2 linked regions of the Saccharomyces cerevisiae S288C genome follow. The protein of the gene in region 1 binds, or shares a complex with, the protein of each later gene. Each region holds a gene or a part of one and is shown in the gene's direction. Other genes may lie near its edges.

What was found.
Region 2: the proteins of SIN3 (region 1) and SAP30 are in contact, whole or in part, in a cryo-EM structure (PDB 8HPO), measured with the Saccharomyces cerevisiae proteins. Residues at the interface, in NP_014639.1 of Saccharomyces cerevisiae: Leu662 (codon at 3,722), Glu665 (codon at 3,731), Phe669 (codon at 3,743), Lys673 (codon at 3,755), Thr683 (codon at 3,785), Glu684 (codon at 3,788), Leu686 (codon at 3,794), Lys687 (codon at 3,797), Ile688 (codon at 3,800), Leu689 (codon at 3,803), Asn690 (codon at 3,806), Leu691 (codon at 3,809), Tyr692 (codon at 3,812), Ser693 (codon at 3,815), Gln694 (codon at 3,818), Ile696 (codon at 3,824), Leu697 (codon at 3,827), Asp698 (codon at 3,830), Leu699 (codon at 3,833), Asp701 (codon at 3,839), Glu704 (codon at 3,848), Lys705 (codon at 3,851), Asp707 (codon at 3,857), Phe708 (codon at 3,860), Tyr709 (codon at 3,863), Phe720 (codon at 3,896), Phe723 (codon at 3,905), Val724 (codon at 3,908), Cys732 (codon at 3,932), Glu734 (codon at 3,938); in NP_013990.1 of Saccharomyces cerevisiae: Gln76 (codon at 2,145), Tyr79 (codon at 2,154), Ile80 (codon at 2,157), Leu83 (codon at 2,166), Ile84 (codon at 2,169), His87 (codon at 2,178), Ile88 (codon at 2,181), His92 (codon at 2,193), Lys98 (codon at 2,211), Ser99 (codon at 2,214), His100 (codon at 2,217), Pro101 (codon at 2,220), Met102 (codon at 2,223), Glu106 (codon at 2,235), Tyr107 (codon at 2,238), Thr108 (codon at 2,241), Phe111 (codon at 2,250), Arg114 (codon at 2,259), Tyr115 (codon at 2,262), His118 (codon at 2,271), Phe119 (codon at 2,274), Leu129 (codon at 2,304), Gln130 (codon at 2,307), Tyr132 (codon at 2,313), Leu133 (codon at 2,316), Gly135 (codon at 2,322), Ser136 (codon at 2,325), Lys137 (codon at 2,328), Leu138 (codon at 2,331), Arg160 (codon at 2,397).

Annotation. Positions count from the first base shown.
Region 1 is NC_001147.6:315,200-322,736, forward strand, and holds SIN3 (transcriptional regulator SIN3), read left to right. Parts: upstream 1-1,738; coding exon 1,739-6,349; downstream 6,350-7,537. Other genes in the region: TOP1 (DNA topoisomerase 1), read right to left, coding at 1-188; DNA-directed RNA polymerase II core subunit RPB11, read right to left, coding at 614-976; palmitoyltransferase PFA4, read right to left, coding at 6,659-7,537. UniProt on the Saccharomyces cerevisiae protein: Catalytic component of the RPD3 histone deacetylase complexes RPD3C(L) and RPD3C(S) responsible for the deacetylation of lysine residues on the N-terminal part of the core histones (H2A, H2B, H3 and H4).
Region 2 is NC_001145.3:793,000-796,024, forward strand, and holds SAP30 (Sap30p), read left to right. Parts: upstream 1-1,919; coding exon 1,920-2,525; downstream 2,526-3,025. Other genes in the region: TPS3 (trehalose 6-phosphate synthase/phosphatase complex subunit), read right to left, coding at 1-370; YMR262W (putative endodeoxyribonuclease), read left to right, coding at 727-1,668; CUE1 (Cue1p), read left to right, coding at 2,806-3,025. UniProt on the Saccharomyces cerevisiae protein: Component of the RPD3C(L) histone deacetylase complex (HDAC) responsible for the deacetylation of lysine residues on the N-terminal part of the core histones (H2A, H2B, H3 and H4).

The DNA of each region.
Region 1 (7,537 bases):
TTCTTAGTCTTTTTCTTGGAAATCTTAGAGATTGCCTCATCACTATCATAAGGTTCCGCTTCGTCTTGAAGAGAGGCAGAGTTCATGGACGCCACCTTTCTTTTTTTTAAAGTTTGAGATAATGGCACATCGTCATCGTCATCAGAAGACAACTCATGATTAACTTTGGAAGCATCAGCAATAGTCATTTTTACGCGTTTCAAGTTTCGAGCTCTGCCCTCCCTTTAGATTTTTTTTATTTGCTGTTTTAATACTATAAGAATAGGACTCAGGTAATTAGAGTAACAGAGAAAACAAAAAAGAATATTGCGCTCGTGTTAGTGTTGAAACAAAAAAATACAGTTGTTCTTTACGTGCATCGATCATATAAGAAAAGGGAAAAAAGCCGTAAAGTAAAAAAATAAAGAGCTTTCCATGGCTGGTTTTTTTTCTTTTTTTTTTTTTTTTTTGAAGACTACAGCAGGTATTACCCGGAGTGAAAAAGGTTTCTCACACTAAAATTTACGTGTTCAAGACATTGAAGTTATGTATAAATATATATGAGCGTATATTATGTGTATGTCCGTTTCCATTCTGTTTAGATTTTATGGCTATAGTATTAAACTCCTATATATCAAAATGCGTCGTCGGCGGCTAGAGTTTGCAGGTTCCACTCGGTTTCGAAATTTGTCTTCAGGGCGCCAAGCTTGTTAATGATGCTGTTACAGGCGTTTTTCAAGGCATCCTTCGGGTCGTAGCCCTCGGTGGTCTGTATTCTCAGCTTGAAACGAGCGAAGAAGGGATGCTCAACCTTGTAAGCGGCAAACAGCACTTTTCTGTCGTTCAGAAGTTCTGCACGAATCAGGTTTCCCAACGTGTGGTCCTCCTTCTCAAACGTTATCACTACTGCGTTGGGGGCTTTGGTGTCGGGGTCAATCTTTAGCTTGGATTCCCCTTCACCCAGAAGGAACAGTTCGAATCTGTCTGGAGCATTCATGATGCAGTTGTGTCCAAATGTATCTGGTTTGGTGGCTACGTAGCTATCTATTTAGGCTGCACGGCTCAGTTCTCTCGCTCTTCTTTTAACGGACCTCTTGTGTGTGCCAAAGCAGTGAACCTAGAATTTTCGCGGACACTTCCACTTTATTAAGTCCGGGTAATGATAATATTGAGCTTGCAAGTTTTTTGAACTCGGATAGCAGCATTATCCATGACATGACACGGATCTACCGACGAGGCTTACCGACGAGGCTTACCGACGAGGCTTACCGTGATCCCTCTCCAGTAGTCTGTAAATTCTGTTTATAATTTAAAAAATCTATCTTCTACTCCAGTCTTGTAACTACTGTTGTTACGCGCTGCCCAGAGTGTGGCACACACTGCGGGGTTACCCGTGTAACGTAGAATAAACCAGTACGGGTAATGATATCGGATTTTCTAGTGATTTTTTTCCATTCGCAAAAAAGTCGCCTTCATTTTGCAGTTCTTCAGCAAACGTGATTTGCAAAACAACGGTTACTCCCCTTCCCTATTACATTTGTCTTCCCTTTTTCGCACCAGCATTGCTAATATTCGAGGCACCGTACCTAACTAATCAGCTCATTCACGTACCACATATTCTTTGTTACTTCCCTCCCTCCACAACAGGCTACGCTATTGACCGCTTTCAGTATAGTCTCTTTACCCTTTTGTTGTGTTCGTTTGAGGTTATTTGGAAAAGGACAAAATATCTAAGAAACAAGTTATACATTGTACAAAAATGTCACAGGTTTGGCATAATTCGAATTCGCAATCAAACGATGTGGCTACTTCAAATGACGCTACGGGTTCCAACGAAAGAAACGAAAAAGAACCGTCCCTCCAGGGAAATAAGCCCGGTTTTGTTCAACAGCAGCAACGGATTACTTTACCCTCGCTATCTGCCTTGAGTACTAAGGAGGAAGATAGAAGAGATTCCAATGGCCAACAGGCTCTAACTTCTCATGCTGCTCACATATTAGGTTATCCTCCCCCACATTCAAATGCTATGCCCTCAATTGCAACTGATTCAGCATTGAAACAGCCCCACGAGTATCACCCTCGCCCTAAATCTTCGTCCTCTTCTCCCTCTATAAACGCTTCGCTTATGAATGCTGGTCCAGCTCCCCTCCCCACAGTGGGAGCCGCCAGTTTTTCTTTGTCGAGATTTGACAATCCATTACCGATAAAAGCTCCTGTTCATACAGAGGAACCAAAAAGTTATAATGGTCTTCAGGAAGAAGAAAAGGCGACGCAACGGCCTCAAGATTGCAAGGAAGTTCCCGCTGGTGTGCAGCCTGCTGATGCCCCTGACCCTAGCAGCAACCATGCAGATGCTAACGATGACAATAATAACAACGAAAATTCTCACGATGAAGATGCTGACTACAGACCTCTAAACGTGAAGGATGCCCTATCTTACCTCGAACAGGTCAAATTTCAATTTAGTTCGCGTCCGGATATCTATAATTTATTTTTAGATATTATGAAGGACTTTAAATCTCAGGCAATAGACACACCGGGCGTTATTGAAAGAGTATCCACTTTGTTCAGAGGTTATCCAATTTTGATTCAAGGGTTCAATACTTTTCTACCCCAAGGCTATAGAATCGAATGCTCCTCTAATCCGGACGACCCCATTAGAGTTACTACACCAATGGGTACTACGACAGTAAACAATAACATCAGTCCATCTGGTAGAGGTACAACGGATGCACAGGAACTTGGTTCTTTTCCAGAAAGCGATGGAAATGGTGTTCAACAGCCCTCCAATGTGCCAATGGTGCCTTCGAGTGTGTATCAATCGGAACAAAACCAAGACCAACAACAATCTTTGCCTCTTTTAGCTACTTCTTCTGGTTTACCTTCAATTCAACAACCTGAAATGCCTGCACATCGCCAAATCCCACAAAGTCAATCTTTAGTGCCTCAAGAAGATGCTAAGAAAAACGTTGATGTCGAATTTAGTCAAGCCATAAGCTACGTTAATAAAATTAAAACTAGATTTGCCGACCAACCTGATATTTACAAGCATTTTCTGGAAATACTACAAACTTATCAGCGAGAGCAAAAGCCAATAAACGAAGTCTACGCACAAGTGACGCATCTTTTCCAAAATGCTCCTGATTTACTAGAAGATTTCAAGAAATTCTTGCCGGACTCTTCAGCTTCTGCCAATCAGCAGGTGCAACATGCTCAGCAACATGCTCAACAACAACATGAGGCCCAAATGCATGCACAGGCACAAGCTCAGGCTCAGGCACAGGCACAGGTGGAACAACAGAAGCAGCAACAGCAATTCTTGTATCCAGCTTCGGGCTATTACGGCCATCCTTCTAACCGAGGTATTCCACAGCAAAACTTGCCTCCTATAGGAAGCTTCTCGCCTCCAACAAACGGTTCGACCGTACATGAAGCCTATCAGGATCAACAGCACATGCAACCACCCCACTTCATGCCCTTACCATCGATCGTTCAACACGGGCCAAATATGGTACATCAAGGGATAGCGAATGAAAATCCACCTCTATCAGATCTAAGAACGTCTCTCACTGAACAGTACGCTCCTTCTAGTATACAACATCAGCAGCAGCACCCGCAAAGTATTAGTCCTATAGCAAATACGCAGTATGGTGATATCCCTGTTAGACCGGAAATTGATTTAGATCCTAGCATTGTGCCTGTGGTCCCTGAACCCACTGAGCCCATCGAAAACAATATATCGCTTAATGAGGAAGTCACTTTCTTCGAAAAGGCCAAGAGGTATATCGGCAATAAACATTTATACACTGAGTTTTTGAAAATTTTAAATTTGTACTCTCAAGATATACTTGATCTTGACGATTTAGTGGAAAAGGTAGATTTCTACTTGGGTTCCAATAAAGAACTATTTACGTGGTTCAAAAACTTTGTTGGCTACCAAGAAAAAACCAAATGTATCGAGAATATTGTTCATGAAAAACATAGATTGGATTTAGATTTATGTGAGGCATTTGGCCCAAGTTACAAGAGGCTACCAAAAAGTGACACTTTCATGCCATGCTCAGGTAGGGATGATATGTGTTGGGAAGTCTTGAACGATGAATGGGTTGGACATCCTGTATGGGCTTCCGAAGATTCGGGATTTATTGCTCATCGTAAAAACCAGTATGAGGAAACACTATTCAAGATCGAAGAGGAAAGACATGAGTATGATTTTTACATTGAATCAAATTTAAGAACTATTCAATGTTTGGAAACAATTGTAAATAAGATCGAGAACATGACTGAGAATGAAAAAGCCAATTTTAAACTGCCTCCAGGTCTTGGCCATACTTCAATGACTATTTATAAAAAAGTGATAAGGAAAGTTTATGATAAGGAAAGGGGGTTCGAGATTATTGATGCTTTGCATGAGCACCCTGCAGTGACAGCCCCAGTCGTTCTGAAAAGGTTAAAGCAAAAAGACGAAGAATGGAGAAGAGCTCAACGTGAATGGAATAAAGTTTGGAGGGAGTTAGAACAGAAGGTTTTTTTCAAGTCATTAGATCATTTAGGCTTAACATTTAAACAGGCTGACAAGAAATTATTAACTACAAAGCAGTTGATATCAGAGATTAGCAGCATCAAAGTTGATCAAACAAACAAAAAAATTCACTGGTTAACTCCTAAACCAAAGAGCCAGTTAGATTTTGATTTCCCTGATAAAAACATTTTCTATGATATCTTGTGTTTGGCTGACACTTTTATAACCCATACCACAGCCTATTCTAATCCCGATAAAGAAAGATTGAAAGATTTACTAAAATACTTCATCTCTTTGTTTTTTTCTATTTCTTTCGAAAAAATCGAAGAATCGTTGTACTCCCATAAGCAAAACGTGTCAGAATCTAGCGGATCTGACGATGGCAGTTCTATTGCATCAAGGAAGAGGCCCTATCAACAAGAAATGAGTTTACTTGATATTTTACACAGGAGCAGATATCAAAAGCTAAAGCGTTCTAATGATGAAGATGGCAAAGTTCCCCAGCTCTCTGAACCACCCGAAGAAGAACCTAATACCATTGAGGAGGAAGAGCTCATCGATGAAGAAGCTAAAAATCCGTGGCTAACTGGGAATTTAGTGGAGGAAGCAAACTCTCAGGGTATTATCCAAAATCGCAGTATTTTTAATCTATTCGCTAATACGAATATTTACATATTTTTCCGTCATTGGACAACGATTTATGAGCGGCTTTTGGAAATTAAGCAAATGAATGAAAGGGTCACAAAGGAAATCAACACAAGGTCGACAGTTACTTTTGCCAAAGATCTAGATTTATTATCGAGTCAACTTTCCGAAATGGGACTAGATTTTGTTGGTGAAGACGCGTACAAACAGGTTTTAAGACTGAGTAGAAGGTTGATTAATGGGGATCTTGAACATCAGTGGTTTGAAGAGAGTTTGCGGCAAGCTTACAATAACAAAGCGTTTAAACTCTATACAATTGATAAAGTCACCCAATCGTTGGTAAAGCATGCTCATACCTTGATGACTGACGCTAAAACTGCGGAAATAATGGCTTTGTTCGTTAAAGATAGAAATGCCTCCACCACGAGTGCGAAGGACCAAATTATCTATCGCTTGCAGGTGCGCTCACATATGTCCAACACAGAAAATATGTTTAGAATAGAGTTTGATAAAAGAACTCTGCATGTTTCCATTCAATATATTGCACTTGATGATTTGACACTAAAGGAACCAAAGGCAGACGAAGATAAATGGAAATATTATGTAACATCGTATGCTCTGCCACATCCAACAGAAGGCATTCCGCACGAGAAACTGAAGATACCATTTTTGGAAAGGCTCATCGAATTTGGACAAGATATTGATGGAACAGAGGTAGATGAGGAGTTTTCCCCCGAAGGCATCTCTGTATCGACATTGAAAATTAAGATCCAGCCTATAACCTACCAACTGCATATTGAAAACGGGTCTTACGATGTTTTTACCCGTAAGGCTACTAACAAATATCCTACTATTGCTAATGATAATACTCAAAAAGGAATGGTTTCTCAGAAGAAGGAGTTGATATCAAAATTTCTAGACTGTGCAGTTGGTTTGAGAAATAATTTAGATGAGGCTCAAAAATTAAGTATGCAAAAAAAATGGGAGAACCTAAAAGACAGCATAGCAAAGACGAGTGCTGGAAACCAGGGAATAGAGAGTGAAACCGAAAAAGGTAAAATTACGAAACAGGAGCAGTCGGATAATTTGGACAGCTCTACTGCAAGTGTACTGCCTGCATCCATTACTACTGTACCACAAGATGATAATATAGAAACGACTGGGAATACTGAATCTTCAGACAAGGGGGCTAAGATTCAATAAGTAGTTTTAACTAGATTTAGAACAAAAATCTTTAGTACGACAGGGTCTTTCTTCTGATGTGTACCTTTAATTAATGTCAACGATATAACATTGTAATTTTAAAATTCTAAGTGTTTTTGAAGCTTTTTAAGACACATCGATCTTTCCATAAAGGAAGAAGTGATAACATGCAGTGGTTATATTTGTGTACTCATACACTGGTGCATGAATCTTTTTACACGTCATTAGCATAGTATGTAATCGAAAGGACACTATTTATAAGGGACAGTTTATACATACATATACTTGATATTCCCATGAATGAGTATTCTATTCCATATCAACATCCACTCCAAAATCGTCTAGTGATTCACCCCAGTCGTTGTACCACTTCTCACGAGAAGCATGTCTGCCATTTTGAGGAAGTCTGGTCCTTATTAGCTGTTCGCCACTTTCATTACGCATCTCTATTGTTGAGCTGCCATGATTGAAGACGGTGTTTGTTTTACCTCCATCTGGTGGCCAGGGAAGTGAAAGGATGTGGTCTTCCAATGAGGAGTTAGCCTCATATTTTGAAATACCGTTTTTTGGAAAATTGTTCCCATCTCCCGTAGGAACACCATATGGCCATAACCATAAATGAATGGGACCAAGGTACAGTAATGCATTAGTGTACAAATCAAAATCGTAAGGGAAATTTACAAGTTCATCAAAACGTGGCCTTTTTTTTGTCAAGTGTTCCTCAGCATCCTTTTTATTTTGAAACGACCTCGACTCTGGATATATTCTCCAAGTATTATCAATTAATTTCTGAGTTAATCTTCCGGAGTTGAACAAAGATTCTAGCCGATCCATATCCCACGACTCAATTTGAGATCTTCCATTCAAGATTTGATTGAATAAACATCGTAGGAAAAGAATTGTTATCGTTAGTAGGACAAAAGAATTTAAAGGACTCGATATTGTTAAGAAAATCAGTTCTGATTTTTTGAAGAAGTAGCCAGGCAAGTGCCTTTGTTGCCAAATAAAATATATCCGCTTAGCTTGTATGCAAAATAAAACACTAGTCGTCACTATGATCCAAAATAAGAATCTAAGGAAATGCGGATAGTTTGCAAAGCCGACGCAATTCATCGTCCACGGACAATGATGATCCATCATTAGGACGCATTGATTGCAGGTTTTACAATGATGTGAACGTTCTGGCTT
Region 2 (3,025 bases), on another chromosome or scaffold:
CTGGGTTATTAGCTGGCGGAATACCAGAGTTTGCTGCATGAGTGGCATTGGCAGTCAGCTCTTCCAGGAATTGCTCTGAGGAAAGCATTTCCATCTCATTATGATAGTTAACTCCCGTAGCAGGAGAGCCCACATTGGCCCTTTGTAAGGGTTCACCGTTAATTTGCGCCTCCTGAGGTAAGCCAATATAATGAGAGCTTGCCGAAGTTACAGAACTGCTTCTTTCTTGCTTGTTGTTGCTCAATTCCTGGTTGTTGCAGTCTACCTTGATCATACTTGATTCAACCAGCTTAGCAGTATCCGAGTTGGTGACATCAGCCTCGAATTGAGGGGTATATGGTAAGAATAAAGAAGCGACGATAATAGTCATTGAGGTTGCCCGTGGTTATTAGTCTGTGGTTTTTTGAATAGGAAGCAATAAATTATAAAGCCAGGACCTGCAATAACGTTTGTACTGTTTTATTGTGATAAAAGATGAAGCGGAATAGCAACGGTACTTAAAACTTATGTCTTAGACTTAATACTATTGAATGTTTGCTCGTCCACTTGATGCTCCCTGGAGTTGCCGTTGCTGCGTGCTGAAGGGGATTAATTAATTCCAGGGGCACCGCGCGAAGCCCAGGAGGACAATTGATTACGTAGGGAAGAAAGGGCCCTTTTAGAAGACTGGCAATTGCAACTCTATCGAGGTTAGGTGTTACACTACGCTGTTCATTGAGGAAGTAGATGAATAAACTTGTTGATGCCCACTGTCATGTTATAACCGACCCAGACAACACATTCTGCGGTGATGATGGAGGGTCCCAGGGTACGTTGCGTTGCGTTATGTCATCAAACCCATATGACTGGAACAATTTGAAAAAATTGGCTGGCAGAAGCACAAGTAAAAACGATATATGCGTGGGATTTGGTGTGCATCCTTGGTACAGCCACTTATTTTATGTGGGAAGTCGGCGCGACAAGGTTTCTCACTATCAAGATGTACTGGAGTATAAGAATGAAGAACAGTTCGACAGTTTGGTTCAGGTGCTTCCCGAACCTCTAGATCTTGAAGAGTATATAAAAAGAGAGTTTAACGACACTTTGGTTAGTGTGATTGGAGAAATCGGTCTTGATAAGCTCTTCAGACTTCCTGCAAATGGTTTCTACATGCAGAACGAGAAGGCAAGGCTTACGACAGTGAAGGTCAAACTATCGCATCAAGAAACAGTATTCAGGCGATTTTGCCGACTGGCAAGGCACACAAGCAAGCCCATCTCTATACACGATGTAAAGTGCCACGGGAAACTAAACGATATCTGCAATGAAGAGCTCTTGACGTATCACTCTGTCAAGATATGTTTACATTCGTACACAGGCTCCAAGGAAACGCTTCTGGGCCAATGGCTCAAGAAGTTTCCCCCGGATCGTATTTTTGTGAGCCTATCCAAATGGATTAATTTTAAGGACCCAGAAGAGGGAGATGCCCTGGTCAGGAGCTTGCCCTCAACTTGCATACTTACTGAAACCGACTATCCTATTGACAATCCAGATCCGTCATACCAAAAGGCCCTTACAGAGCAGCTGCAGTATTTGAATGCACAAATCGCACGAGCATGGGACGAGACACTGGATGCCTCACAAGCCGCTTTGCGTGTATACGAAAACTTTCAGAAATTTATCAAGTGAAACGCTTTTGAGGTGGCAGCATAGCACTGTAATGAGATATATTAAGTAGGCTTGCTGTATACCATTTCTTGCTATGCATGTGTTTTAGCAAGGCAACGCCGTTCCGGAAGGGAAAAAGCGCTCTTTTTTATATACTGTGAAATTTTCAGATTTTAACTTAGAAATTATATAAAAGCGGTTGTGTATCTATTGTGATAATGCAATTCCTTTATAGTTTAGCAAATCGAAGGATAGGTATATACTGAGTAGTAATGGCTAGGCCAGTTAATACAAACGCTGAAACGGAATCGAGAGGCAGACCCACTCAGGGTGGTGGTTACGCAAGTAACAACAATGGCAGCTGTAACAACAACAATGGCAGCAATAATAACAATAATAACAATAATAATAATAATAATAACAGCAATAACAGCAATAACAATAACGGGCCTACCTCCAGCGGGAGAACCAATGGGAAGCAAAGACTCACAGCTGCACAACAGCAGTACATTAAGAATCTCATAGAGACACATATCACCGACAACCACCCTGATCTGCGCCCCAAGAGTCACCCAATGGATTTCGAAGAGTATACGGATGCGTTCCTGAGAAGGTATAAAGACCACTTTCAATTGGACGTACCGGACAACCTGACGCTGCAGGGATACTTATTGGGTTCCAAATTGGGCGCGAAGACTTATTCATACAAGAGGAACACACAGGGGCAGCACGATAAAAGGATACATAAGAGAGACCTGGCCAACGTGGTGAGAAGGCATTTCGATGAGCATTCCATTAAAGAGACAGATTGCATACCGCAATTTATATACAAGGTAAAAAACCAGAAGAAGAAATTCAAGATGGAATTTCGGGGTTGATCAAACGATGAGGCAGCCCTTTTGTGTATAAGTTATGTAAACTTTTAAGGTGGTAATTGTTAAAATGGACAGTAACACTTGTTTATTTGCTAGTATTCCATTTAGTTTAATGCCTTTTTGTATACGGTGCGGGTAGCTGTCGCGCCATTTTAAACGATCTAATATAACTGAGGTGGGCCTGTCATTGATGCATTGAATAGACAACTCATCAACCTATTTCTTATAAAAGGCGCCATAAAGCATTACAATCTACGATCGCGCAAACTTTTTTCTTTTGGCCATGGAGGATTCGAGATTGCTTATCACTTTGATTCTTGTGTTTGGAGTTATATTTCTGAAAAAATTCTTCCAAAGTAATCAGCATCCCTCAGCACAACGCTTATCCGCTACAGGTGTAAACGCACACGGACGTCCTCAGGGCTCCACGCAGAATGCCTTGAGAAGGACTGGTAGAGTCAATGGAGGTCACCCCGTGACTACTCAGATGGTGGAAACAGTGC